Linked DNA regions of Neurospora crassa OR74A. The protein of the gene in region 1 binds, or shares a complex with, the protein of each later gene. Links are inferred from orthologs where the notes say so. Each region holds a gene or a part of one and is shown in the gene's direction. Other genes may lie near its edges. The genes, in order: tim50, tim23 and tim17.

Region 1 (4,055 bases):
GCCGTTCGAGCGTTGGATGAATGATGATATGTTCCAGAAGAAACAGAGAAGACGGGAGTGGGAAGGAGAGAAGATGGGTTGGGAGCAGAAGAGGGCAAGTGTTGTGTTAAAAAGAAGATTCGTCAATTGTATCGATTCGGTTCCGTCTCGGCTTGCTAGAACGATGCAGAAACAAAACGAGCAAGAAGTGGTCACCTACCTACCGAGAAGTGCAGGTGAGGGGAAGGCAACTGAGTGGATGATGTTGAATGGTTCAATTGGATGTCCATCACAGCAAAACACGGCATCGCTGTATCGCTGAGTGTGCAGACGATTTGCTTTGACCGACGCATTACATAAGCTGTACTCGGATAGCAAGAGGGTTAGGGGTAGAGTAGGGAAATCACACAAATGGCCTGGATCACCAAGAGGTACAACTACTGAACTGGATTGTAACAGAAAAAAACATCCACTTAGCATATGGTTCACCTGGGGGACTTTTGAGGTGATCAAGTCGTCAGTCAGGTCACCCAAGCTTTCCATCCGTCGTTTAGATAGCAACTGTGTGGTTAGGAGAAGAGCGAAGTGATCTGAATGGCTCAGAAGAGCTTTAGTTATCGAAGAGCCAGTCATACCTTTGAATGCCCGGTACTTGTTTAGTTCGCAACCTCCCTTCATTTACAAATTATACTTGCTCCTTTCCACGCAACAGTAATCTGCTCGTCGAAAAGCATCCCGTCTGTAGGCGCAATGCCAGTGGAAGAGTACATAGTGTCACGGTCGTCTGACGTTTTCAGTATCTGCAGTCCAATAAACGACACCTGTCAAATCGTGCCCGAATCTTCCAACCGACATAGGATCTCAGACACCTGTCGTAATAGATAGTCTCCTGGAGACGAGATCAAGAGTTTTATCTTTTAAGCCATATTGGAGTTGAGATGGTGAATTGGAGATCAAAGACGTGATTGTCATCCATCCATGCAACAACCACAAGCTGAAAGATGACGACATGTCCCCCACTGTCTTTGACGCTTAACTCCGTATGTGGGGCCATTGGGGCCGGGAACAAGAACTCTCAGAACATCAAAGGTCTGTGCACGGCGGCCTTGGAAGATCCAGCGACAGACCCCTCCTTCGTGTCTGATTGGACCGAAAGAAGCGCGCCAAGGCTGAAGTTCAACTAGCAGCGTTGTGACGGAAGGTTCAGGACTCAAGTTTTTTTCTGGGCGAGCAGCCGGCCGGGGCGGGAAGCTTGAGTTTGTGGAATTGGAAAGTTTGGTTTTGGGATATCATATCGCTATCGGGCCCAGCGGATACTGACTGACTGCAACTGACTACGACGCCCTGAATTTCCGTTATCCTACTGTTATCGTCACTTGTTTCCACCACCTAGAGGCAGCAACCAGCTCCCCCCCCCCCCCCTCCTGCAACCACCCGGGCATCCATCCACCTCCGGTTTCCATCACTAGGGGACACTCGACACCACACAGCTCCAAACAGCTGCTGCCCTTTGTGTGTCCAACCAATATCAGTCATGATGCTGTCCAGAGCTGCCGTGCGCTCCATCGCGGGCGCGCGTGTTGCAGCTCACGCGGCGTCGCCTCTCCTGTCGCAGCGCACCCTGCCCGCCGTCTGGACCCGTTCCATGGCCAAGGACAACAAGCCTCCCAAGTTCTCCAAGCCCGAGAGCACTCCCGCACAAAAGGCTACTCCCAAGGCCCCCGAGCCCGCCGAATCCGAGAAAGCTGAGCAGAAGCAGCAGCAACAGCAGCAACAACAAACCCCAGCCGAATCCGAACCCGAACCCGAAATCGACCTGTCCAAGCTCCCCGATCTAAGAGGTGGTATTCCCACCACCCTAGAGTATGAGATGGCCCAGAAGGAGGCCGGCAAGAAGCCGGTCGCCGGTGAGGAGGCAGAGACACAGGCTGAGGGCGCCGAGGGCCCTGAGGCCGCTACGTCAGGCAGCGGTGGTGGCGGCCGCAAGAAGGGCCAGCTCCCCGATTCTGCCTACGTTTCTTCTACTGAGAAGCGCCGCCAAAAGATGGCCAACTGGGCCTTCATTGCCGCTGGTCTCGCCTTGGTGGGTGGAACGATCTACTTGGGAAGGGAATGGGATGAGGAGGAGCTTGAGAAGCACCATGATATACCAAATGGCTGGGGTCTCGGCCTGTGGTGGAAGAGGGCCAAGGCCAGGATGACTGGAACCGTCAGCTACTACCAGGAACCTGCCTTCGAGAAGCTGCTACCCGACCCGGATCCGTCATTCGAGCGTCCGTACACCCTCTGTATCAGTTTGGAAGATATGCTGGTGCATAGCGAGTGGACGCGCGACCACGGCTGGCGTCTCGCCAAGCGTCCTGGTGTCGACTACTTCTTGCGCTACCTCAGCCAGTACTACGAGATTGTTCTCTTCACCAGCGTTCCCTTTGCCAACGCTGAGCCTATTGTCCGCAAGATGGACCCGTACCGCTTCATCATGTGGCCCCTCTTTAGGGAGGCGACCAAGTACAAGGATGGCGAGATCGTCAAGGTAGGACCACCTAGAGCTGTCAAGATTGCACCATCACGGTAGCTAACCAACCATTGTCGCACAGGACCTTTCTTATCTCAACAGAGACTTGTCCAAGGTCATCATCATTGATACCGACCCCAAGCACGTGCGCGCCCAGCCCGAGAACGCCATCGTCCTCCCCAAGTGGAAGGGTGATCCCAAGGATACCGAGCTCGTGTCCCTCGTCCCCTTCCTCGAGTTCATCCACACCATGAACTTCCCCGATGTTCGCAAGGTCCTCAAGTCCTTCGAGGGCCAGCACATCCCCACCGAGTTTGCCCGTAGAGAGGCCATTGCCCGCGCTGAGCACAACAAGCTCGTTGCCGCCAAGGCCAAGAAGGCTGGCTTGGGCTCGCTTGGCGCCCGCTTCGGCATCAAGCCTAGCAAGCTGAACCCCATGGCCATGGAGGGCGAGGAGGATCCTTCTGAGGCTTTTGCTAAGGGCAAGATGATCCAGGATATTGCCCGTGAGCGCGGCATGCGCAACTACCTGGCCATGGAGGAGGAGATCAAGAAGAACGGCGAGATGTGGCTCAAGATGGAGCAGGAGGCCCAGGAGAAGGCCCAGAAAGAGATGATGAAGAACATGCAGAGTTCCGTCTTTGGCTGGTTCGGCGGTGCTCCCAGCGGCGAGCAGCAGTCCGGCGAGTCAGAGAAGAAGGCCTAATCGACCAAACGAATCCGCCCCCTCAGTCATCCGCGACGATATGTATCAACACCTTGTGACCATTTTCTTGTACTTTTACCATGTCTTGTGCTATTTCTTTTTTCCATTTTCCATTCTCTGTCTATGATTGGCGTCACTAAAGGGATTTACCGGACTTCTCTACTCCGGTCATGGTATTCTTCCTTCACATGCGGAGCATTGGAATAGGCGTGGGTCACTTAGGAAAGAGAAGGTTTCATACATCTACATAATCTGTCTGAGGGTGTGGCTCTAGAGGTGCTGTAGAATGTCTCTCAACGAAAAAAAGTTATGACAATTCCAACACTTTTCCATATCACTTCGGGCAAACATCCCTTCTCAGCAAGAAGTCTTGTCTGTTCGCCTCCCTGCATTTTATTCGTGATGCCAGGAGCACGTTACTGTGTGACCGCAAGTCGAGGGAACATCCTAATCGAAGAACACCCACTAGCTCATTCACCTTCTCTCGTTATCGAAGCCGCCTCGCGTTAAGCGAGATAAATATCTGTCCTCGCATTGTCAGCGAGCACAGTCCCACCAGTCGAACCCGGTGCTTTATTAAAGAAAGTCATTGGTATTGAGCTTGGGTTGGCACAACTCAACACCTTATTGCATTGGACATCTCATCGTCCAGTGTTGCGAGGACTATGACTTGTCATCCTTGACATATTCCCGATCAGGGGTAGGATAGCCGATACTAATTCGATGAAATGTTACGCATTCGAGCGAACCCCTCTTGACCACGCCGTCGGGTCAGAACTGTGAGGAGCACAGTCGAGATACGGATCTTTGTGTCCAGGGTCACTTATCAATGTCTGGAGACCTTTTCTTTCCACC
Region 2 (3,734 bases), on another chromosome or scaffold:
GAACAGCTCAAAAACAAAGGACTTCCACACGGAGAGATGAGATAGGTCGGCGACAGAAGAGTCGACCTCGCGATACTTGCGAGCAACATCGTCGAGGGAAAGAACCTTTTTGTTCAAGAAGTGGTCCAGACACTGCAGGCCAGACTTGGTCAGTTGCATGGCAGACTTGCGAGCGACAATCTCCACGATGGTCTTGAGGATGTGTTCCTTCACTGCCTTCCCTGTCTCGGGTTTGGGATTAATGGTCGCCGAGGCCACAAGGACATCAAGAATCAGTCTCAGGGCACGATGCGGGTCGTGTTCATACCACTCAAGGTAGAAATGGAACAGCTTCGTTGAGACGGGCTCGGTGAAGGCCCATTCCTTCAGCTTCTCGTCTTTGGCCTTGGCGCATTGCTGAACAAAGCTGCAGAGCCTTACGACATCGTGACCGTTGCCGTGATACTGGCGAGACTCAGAGGCATTGCTGAACAACTTGGCAAATACTGCCTGTGCGATGCTAACACGGGTGTTAGTGAATGTCTGTATATGTGTGATTGAGAACTTCTCACAAAGAATAACTGGACACTGAAGATATCCGAAAGAAAAGAAACCTACGCTGGGAGTGACTCGGTGGGTTGTGACAACAGCCACTTGGTGATGGTGTTGGCATTTTCAAACACTTCGGGGCCCAGTCCGGCTAGCAGAGCGTCCGTGTCAATGGTGCTGCTGCCGGGGGCATTTTGCTGGACTTGGGTTGACTCCATCCCCGCAGTCCAAAAGGGAAGTTATGATTGAGGGACCGGGTTTAGACGTGCATCCGAGACTTCGTTGCAGAGTGATGATGACTGGGAAAGGGAGGCAATAAAGAAGGAGCGAAGAGTGGTAAGTGCCTGACCGTCAATGAGCCCCCCAGTGAGAGTTAGTGAGGGCCTGAAGTTACTGTGATAGTAAGTAATCCACCTCTCTGCTGGGCACTCGTGTAAAGTATGAGCGACGAGTTGTGAAATTTTGGGATCTTCAAAGGCCTATAGCATCACCCACTGTGTGTTTACATCCACTGCGCATGTTCTGGGGGTGAATCCACTCCGGCCACCGTGCTTGTTTTGGGTCTGAAGTTGCCTGCCGCCATGTCAAGAGATACCCCTGCACTGTAGCAGTAAAAGAATCCCCACGAACGAACCGTCCCCGTAAAAGATCCAAAGGCGAAGAAGTCCTGAGAAAGCAGGAATGGGAACATGGAGAATCCGTTGAATATATCTGTTCAAGGCGTAGTCTAGCTTCAGATGCCCACGATGTACTGCAGTTGACCTTTCAATAAGGTCTTCTTCATTACAGCCTCGGTTGAGTTCCACTTCGCCATGTTGACATGTCCCCGAAATCAAAGCCCCAGAGCATGTATATACATATGTAGAGGTACATATGACGCCAATCGCTCGCACGGGCCATGCGGGCGCCATAGAGGTAAATTTTTTCGAAGTTCCGACGTTATCGGGGGCCAAGACAGGCGTCGGTCCAAGTTGCGCGTGAGCCGGAGCCAATTCGAGATCCCATCCGTCTCGCCCACCGACCCGTCCGTCACTCCCCCGAAGATACGATAGCTTACTCGTTTGCCGACGGCACCACCCACCCACCCTTCCCTCCGGCTACCCGTCACCACTCTTGCGCGCAGCAGTACGCGGTCTATCTGCTTCGTGTTCCCCAACTGCTTAACGATCCGATAACCCATCGAACCCCTCCACTTCAGTCACAATGTCCGGCCTTTGGAACACCCTCACCGGAGGCAACAAGAAGCAGCAAGAGCAGCAAGAGCCCGCCGCACCCGCCCCCAGCGCACCTCAGACAACCACCACCACCACCTCCGCTCCTTCATATCCCTCGCCCTTCGATGCTAGCCAGCCCCAAGGTGTCGAGGCCTTTCTCGGTAGCTCTTCCTTCGCCGACCCCACACAACTACACCCTCTTGCCGGCCTCAACAAGGAAACACTAGAATACATCTCGCTTGAGGATACCCCGCTGCCCGATGCCGCCGGCGCCTCAGTTCTGCCCTCGCGCGGCTTCACTGACGACCTCTGCTACGGAACCGGTATCACCTACCTGACGGCCCTCACTATCGGAGGCGCGTGGGGTTTGAAAGAGGGTCTCCAGAGATCGGCCGGCCAGCCGCCCAAGCTGCGCCTCAACTCCGTCCTTAACGCTGTCACCCGTCGCGGTCCCTACCTCGGCAACTCGGCTGGTGTTGTCGCCATCTGCTACAACCTAATCAACGCCGGCATTGGTTACGTGAGGGGCAAGCACGATGCCGCCAACTCAATCCTGGCCGGTGCGCTTAGTGGTATGCTCTTCAAGAGCACCAGGGGTCTGAAGCCCATGATGATCTCGGGTGGTATTGTTGCGACGATAGCCGGTACTTGGGCGGTATGTCACCATTTTTCGTATGGCAGGCGTAGACTGGAAATACACCTTGCTAACTTTACTGTGTCACTAGGTCGCCAGGAGGACGTTCTTCCCCTCCCCCCAGACCAACGAGGTTGACTGAAGTGGGGACGAAGAATGAAATAGGAAACAAAAAAAGTCATCTTCTGTTCCCTTCATCCCACGACTCTCTGGCCATCTATCGTTGCTCCATGAAAAGAGTGCATAGCTAGCCAGCCTTCTCTATTATTTTAATCTTCGAGAGAACTGACAGAAGAAAACCAGTGTCTTTCTCACCAGCACGGAAGACCACTGCGATGAAGATGTGTGTGTGTCCTTGGTTCAACACGGAGCAAAAGGGCAGCAGACACGAACTGGTGGATGTGTACGAACAAGAGAGGGAAGAACGAAAATAAAGCGACACTGGGCTGGGCAGGGCTTGAACAAGGCAGGACATGGAAGAGGGGCCAAAGGGCAGGGTGTGTGCATAGTGGTGCATAGCGCAAGGGTTAGTCTCATCTCTCTCCTCCCCGTGTGTGGAAAATTGTATGTATTATAGCGGATCATATGGACATAGAGCGCAATCGCCCTGGTTGGGCATATGGGGCATTGCGGCAGGCTTCATTCAAACTTTGAGTCTATTGCGGGTTGTACATGACTGTTGGCTCCGGGTTTTATGATAAGATAATAGAGAGGTAATGTTTGGTGTGGGATATATTGGGCATGTCACCCTGCCACACGTTGGTGTCGAAAATGACTGCAAGCAGGTGTGAGTTCAAAGTTCGAAGCGACTTAGGGGCAGGACTACGAATGAACATATCCACTCTCTTAGGATAAGGCCCATCTCCGACGAATTCCCTATTTGCCACAGAACTGGAAACCGTACGCACATTGTTCCTCGAGTATTCCCCATGCAAATCTTTGGCTTGAGAACAACAGGCAAGCACCAGTTTCAATACATGGAAGCAGAGAGATCAAGACAGGGAGGAAAATCAATTCTTCGATAACCGACAGACTAGTGAGCTACAAGTGGCAGTAACGATAATAACCTTGCTTGCCTCTTTATGCTAAGTCCCTCTACGAATCCCGTTATTGCTTTCTCTAAGATCGAAGACTAATAAAGCAAGTTTCCCATCCATATCTTTGGTTATAACAAGATCGAGCTAACATCATTTGGTTCCTGGTGTGGGATGCTGTTGCAAAAGGAGAAAGGCGAGCTCGACATGATCATATGTAACGTGTAATGTATCCCCACCTTCTTCCTAAACCACCATAGAAAGCCACTTGAAGAATATACAAAAACTCGATAGTATACCAACAGAACACTTTAGCATAGAAAG
Region 3 (4,301 bases), on another chromosome or scaffold:
TATGGGCTGATATGGCGTCTCCAGAGATGCTGTCAAGGAAGAAGTGGAAGATTTGGATGAGCATGGTATATGCAGAACGCCATTGCTTCCATTGGGCTTCGTTTCGTGCTCGCCCATGTCGCAATAGCAGATTTCTGTCATGTTTGCTTGCGTTTTTGATGACCCGGGAAAGTGCTTACGGATGCCGTACGATGACGCGAGATCATGGGGTTGACGACACCATCCATCAAGTAGCTAGGAATATATAAGTCCAGTGGTGGGATATTCACATCCCTAAAACCCAGAACGGATGGGTCGAAAGAAGAAGGACGGAGGCATCTCACCGCTTTTCGGATCGCCAACAGCCTCGTTGTTGTCAAGTTCAGCTGAGTCACACGATTGAGCGATCAAAAGAAACGGAATGGCAATGGCTTCTTCCTATAATACTCCGCTCTACCCCAGACAGCAGGCAAACATCCTGGCTCTGATGTCCACACGATCAAGGAACTTTACGCCACACTTGGTGTCTGGGCGAGCTTCAACACTATCAGTTGCAGATAGTGATGGTCCCCTACGAATATTTTGCATGATAGCCGCGAAATCCAGCCCAGTTCCTGGGTCTTTGTTCTGTTGTGGAACAGCTAGATTGAGCCAGTCCAAAGGTACCGTGACATGGGTTGCTTCGAGCTTGGGAGCGTGTGGGTATCACAAGCACAACAAAGAGGTACATTTTCACTTGGAGATCAAATCACACCACCACCCAGCTATGTGGTTTTGAAGACTGGTCGGAAAAATGGCTCAGTTATCTCGATGTTGTATGGGATGAAGCGACATCGGATGGTGATGAGACGCGTCGAGATTGCATATGTCGTACAATGCTGCTGTCGCTTTGTGCCCCTTACTCTTGGTGAAATGTTGACTTGGAAATGCCCTGAAATCCAAATCATCAGAGCATAGAGTCCACAAAGGCTCGCAAGGTTCAAACTCCCAAAGCAGCTGAGTTAAACAGAAGAAGTAAAAGTGATGATCGCCGTGATGTTCGAAACAACTTTGGTTCGGAATCAGCTGAAAGCAGGGCGAAGAGAAAGGGTGGAAGGTACCCGAAGGTACCACAATATGAGGCAAAGTGATGTTAGGAGGACGCCGAAGGATGGCTTCAAGGCTGAATAGCACCCCAAAACTCGTGCTGATATCAAGCCATATCGGTGACTTGGCTCCCATAGTCGGCGATCAAGGAGACCATCAGAAACTATCGCCGTATGGACTCGCCGATTTACGCTGATGTTGGCGCAAAGTGTAGGCGGAACAAGAGTTTCAATGTATCGTCGAGGTACCACCCGCCCGAAGTGATAAGTGATCTGGACTGAAACAAGTGACGCTCGGACCAGGAAAGGAAGCCACCTAGGTCTTGGCACGGCAAGGTTGGTGGGCCTGCCCGGAACTGACCCTTGCAAGGCGGTCATAATTTTCTTTGGCTTCTGAGATCATCACCAAACCGTCTCCGAACTCCGCGCCCGTATCTTTATCAAAAATCCATCCATCTGGCTGCATCCGCTTGCTCCCCCGCCGACTCCCACCCAGCAACGCCACCAGTCCTCCACCACCACCACCTCCCCGTCGCCTTGCGTCCCCGACGACCTCCCTTCATTGTCGCACTCCGAACTAGAACTCGACTGCGACATATTTCCTCCTCTCCGAGAGACTACCCCATCACCGTTTAATTCGCGATCCCCATAAACCACCCGCCAAAATGGATCACACTCGCGACCCTTGCCCGTGGGTTATCCTCAACGATTTCGGTGGTGCCTTCGCCATGGGTGTATGTTTTCTCTCACCATGTTCTTGTTCTCGCACCACATGGGCAGCCACCAGTGATGACACACGTCGAGTGTGGTTGGCCTAAACCCCTCGTTGTCGCCGTCGCCTCAACCTTGTTGACTGCTTGCTGCATGGAGTCAGTTACTGACACAATGTCGCCGACCATAGGCTATCGGTGGTACGATCTGGCACGGTATCAAGGGCTTCCGTAACAGCCCTTACGGCGAGAGGAGAATCGGCGCCATCACTGCCATCAAGATGCGCGCCCCTGCGCTCGGCGGTAACTTCGGTTAGTCAACCCGCCTGACACATCTCACGCGGCTCTTGCCACGGCCGATACTGACATGTGGCATCCAGGTGTCTGGGGTGGTCTTTTCAGCACATTCGACTGCGCTATCAAGGGACTAAGGAACCACAAGGAGGACCCGTGGAACTCCATCCTCGCCGGTTTCTTCACGGGTGGCGCGTTGGCGGTTCGTGGTGGCTACAAGGCGGCCCGTAACGGTGCTATCGGCTGCGCTGTCCTCCTGGCTGTTATTGAGGGTGTCGGTATTGGTTTCCAGAAGATGCTTGCGGGCGCCACAAAGCTAGAGGTATGCATGGGAAGGTCGTTGAGAGGTGATCAACTGGCGGTTGCTAACTCGCTCTCTCTCACACTACTAGGCTCCTGCGCCACCTCCGTCCAACGAAAAAGTTCTTGCCTAAATACAATACAGCGGTCATTTAAAAACCTCGATTTAGGATGCGCAAAGATTGTCGACTATATCATCTCTCTCAACTCCTTTCTCCCACCTGGCCCGTATCGGTTGGGCTAGGCTGTGTATTTGTCTACGCATTTCATGACGGTTCAGCATTTTAGGTGGCGGCGTTCCATGTAACATAGAAATGGGTTTGTTGGTCACGCTTGCCATATAAGGGGGTCGGCGTGGATGCTTTGCCTCAGCGCGGAAGAACAGCCATCCGAATAATATTTCTCTTTTTTTTGGAAGACATCATACGCTTTGCGAATGTGTTACCGGCTAACGTGCTTCAAGACAGAAGGGAACCATGTAACTAAACTACTAGATCTTTTCGCCACTCCAAAACCGCGGATCTTCGGGTCTACCTTCGCCGACATATGAACTGGAGATATCCTGATCCTTTCGAAAGATGCGAGCATACGCGACACCTTCCTCGTCTATCCAAGCCCGAAACATGCCACCGCAGTTATAGTCCTGAAGGATATCGGACCGAGTCTCAACGACATTACCACTTGCGTCCCGCACGACCACCAACTCCAGTCCGATGATGCCACCTTCGCCTTCGCCAGCCTTGCCCCATCGATCATCGGCGCTCTTCTGAAGCTCTCCGGACGGCCCAGCAACCTTGGTCAGGGCCACGACGGAAGGAAGGCTAGAATATCTGGCAATGGCGCCCACAGTTCTCGCGGCAGAAACGCGGAAGAATGAATCACCATTGCCTGTCCCAGAAACACCGATCGACCGGGTGGTGGTCAACCCGCCAGACGAGTCTTGAAGAGTGGGGGTATACAGGAAAGGCGAAGGCAGACAATCGGCGATGAGTCTCTTGAGCGCATCCGACAAAACCACCGCTGGTCCCGGGCTATACAACGGATTCCGCGATCCGTTCTTATGAGGAGAAGTAGGATCACCTTCCTCCGTCCACTCCTCAGCCCAGAACCCAGCCCCGACAACAGGCGTATCACCAATTCTGCCCGTCAACTTATTCGTCATGCCGCCTGTGCTCGTCGCCACGCAAATCACGCCCTCGACATCCAGCGCCACCGCACCGACCGTTCCCTGCGGCAGATACTCGTCCTTACTCCAGGTCGCTGAAACGCCACTAGCAGTGCCAGCGCCAAGCAGATCCTGCTGCTCCCTCTTCTCCCTTTCCAACGCCCGAACGTGCTCGTCCCACCGCTTCTGCGTAAAGAAGTAACTAGGATCCACCATCTCCAAGCCATACTGCCTCGCCAACTTTTCCGCCGTTGGGCCGTGGATCAGCGTATGGCCTTGTGCCGAGGGGACATCAGGCTCCCCATCTCCAGTGTTATTATCAAGCTTCTTTCCACGACCCAAAAGATCGTCCTTCCCGTGCTCCAAAACCTTCTTTGCCAGAAGAATCGGATTCCGAACGTGGCGCAACCCGGTCACTCCCACACCCCGCTTGGCCTGACCCCGACTGACCATGACGGAAGCCTCGAGCTCATTGATGCCATCGCGGGTAAAGACGGCGCCGTGGCCGCTGTTGAAGAGGGGGTTGTCTTCGAGAAGGGTGACGGCGTAGGTGGCGGCTTCGAGGGCTGATGGGAGTTTTGAGGAACTGGAAGGGGAATTGTAATTGGACTGGGTGGGCGTGGTCAGGTAGGTGTGCGCCTTGGAGACGATAGTCAGGAGGGAGGAGCGGTAGGCGACGTAGCGCTCCGGGCCGAGGCTGGCGGGGGTGATGTTGCCGGCGCCGCCATGGATGATTAGACGCGGTTGAACTTGGACGCGGGTAGGGGA

The links.
Region 2: tim50 (region 1) and tim23 share a complex: the UniProt entries of both Schizosaccharomyces pombe proteins name them as parts of the TIM23 complex. The link is inferred for Neurospora crassa OR74A from reciprocal best matches to the Schizosaccharomyces pombe genes tim50 and tim23.
Region 3: tim50 (region 1) and tim17 share a complex: the UniProt entries of both Schizosaccharomyces pombe proteins name them as parts of the TIM23 complex. The link is inferred for Neurospora crassa OR74A from reciprocal best matches to the Schizosaccharomyces pombe genes tim50 and tim17.

What each region holds. Positions count from the first base shown.
Region 1 is NC_026501.1:8,625,272-8,629,326, reverse strand, and holds tim50 (mitochondrial import inner membrane translocase subunit tim-50), read left to right. Parts: upstream 1-1,242; 5' UTR 1,243-1,513; coding exon 1,514-2,512; intron 2,513-2,576; coding exon 2,577-3,200; 3' UTR 3,201-3,700; downstream 3,701-4,055. UniProt on the Schizosaccharomyces pombe protein: Essential component of the TIM23 complex, a complex that mediates the translocation of transit peptide-containing proteins across the mitochondrial inner membrane.
Region 2 is NC_026503.1:3,607,783-3,611,516, reverse strand, and holds tim23 (mitochondrial import inner membrane translocase subunit tim23), read left to right. Parts: upstream 1-1,485; 5' UTR 1,486-1,731; coding exon 1,732-2,397; intron 2,398-2,467; coding exon 2,468-2,518; 3' UTR 2,519-3,226; downstream 3,227-3,734. Other genes in the region: NCU00372 (hypothetical protein), read right to left, coding at 1-499, 598-746. UniProt on the Schizosaccharomyces pombe protein: Essential component of the TIM23 complex, a complex that mediates the translocation of transit peptide-containing proteins across the mitochondrial inner membrane.
Region 3 is NC_026506.1:1,284,858-1,289,158, reverse strand, and holds tim17 (mitochondrial inner membrane translocase subunit TIM17), read left to right. Parts: upstream 1-1,467; 5' UTR 1,468-1,729; coding exon 1,730-1,798; intron 1,799-1,965; coding exon 1,966-2,086; intron 2,087-2,154; coding exon 2,155-2,390; intron 2,391-2,460; coding exon 2,461-2,502; 3' UTR 2,503-2,858; downstream 2,859-4,301. Other genes in the region: NCU05624 (L-asparaginase), read right to left, coding at 2,859-4,301. UniProt on the Schizosaccharomyces pombe protein: Essential component of the TIM23 complex, a complex that mediates the translocation of transit peptide-containing proteins across the mitochondrial inner membrane.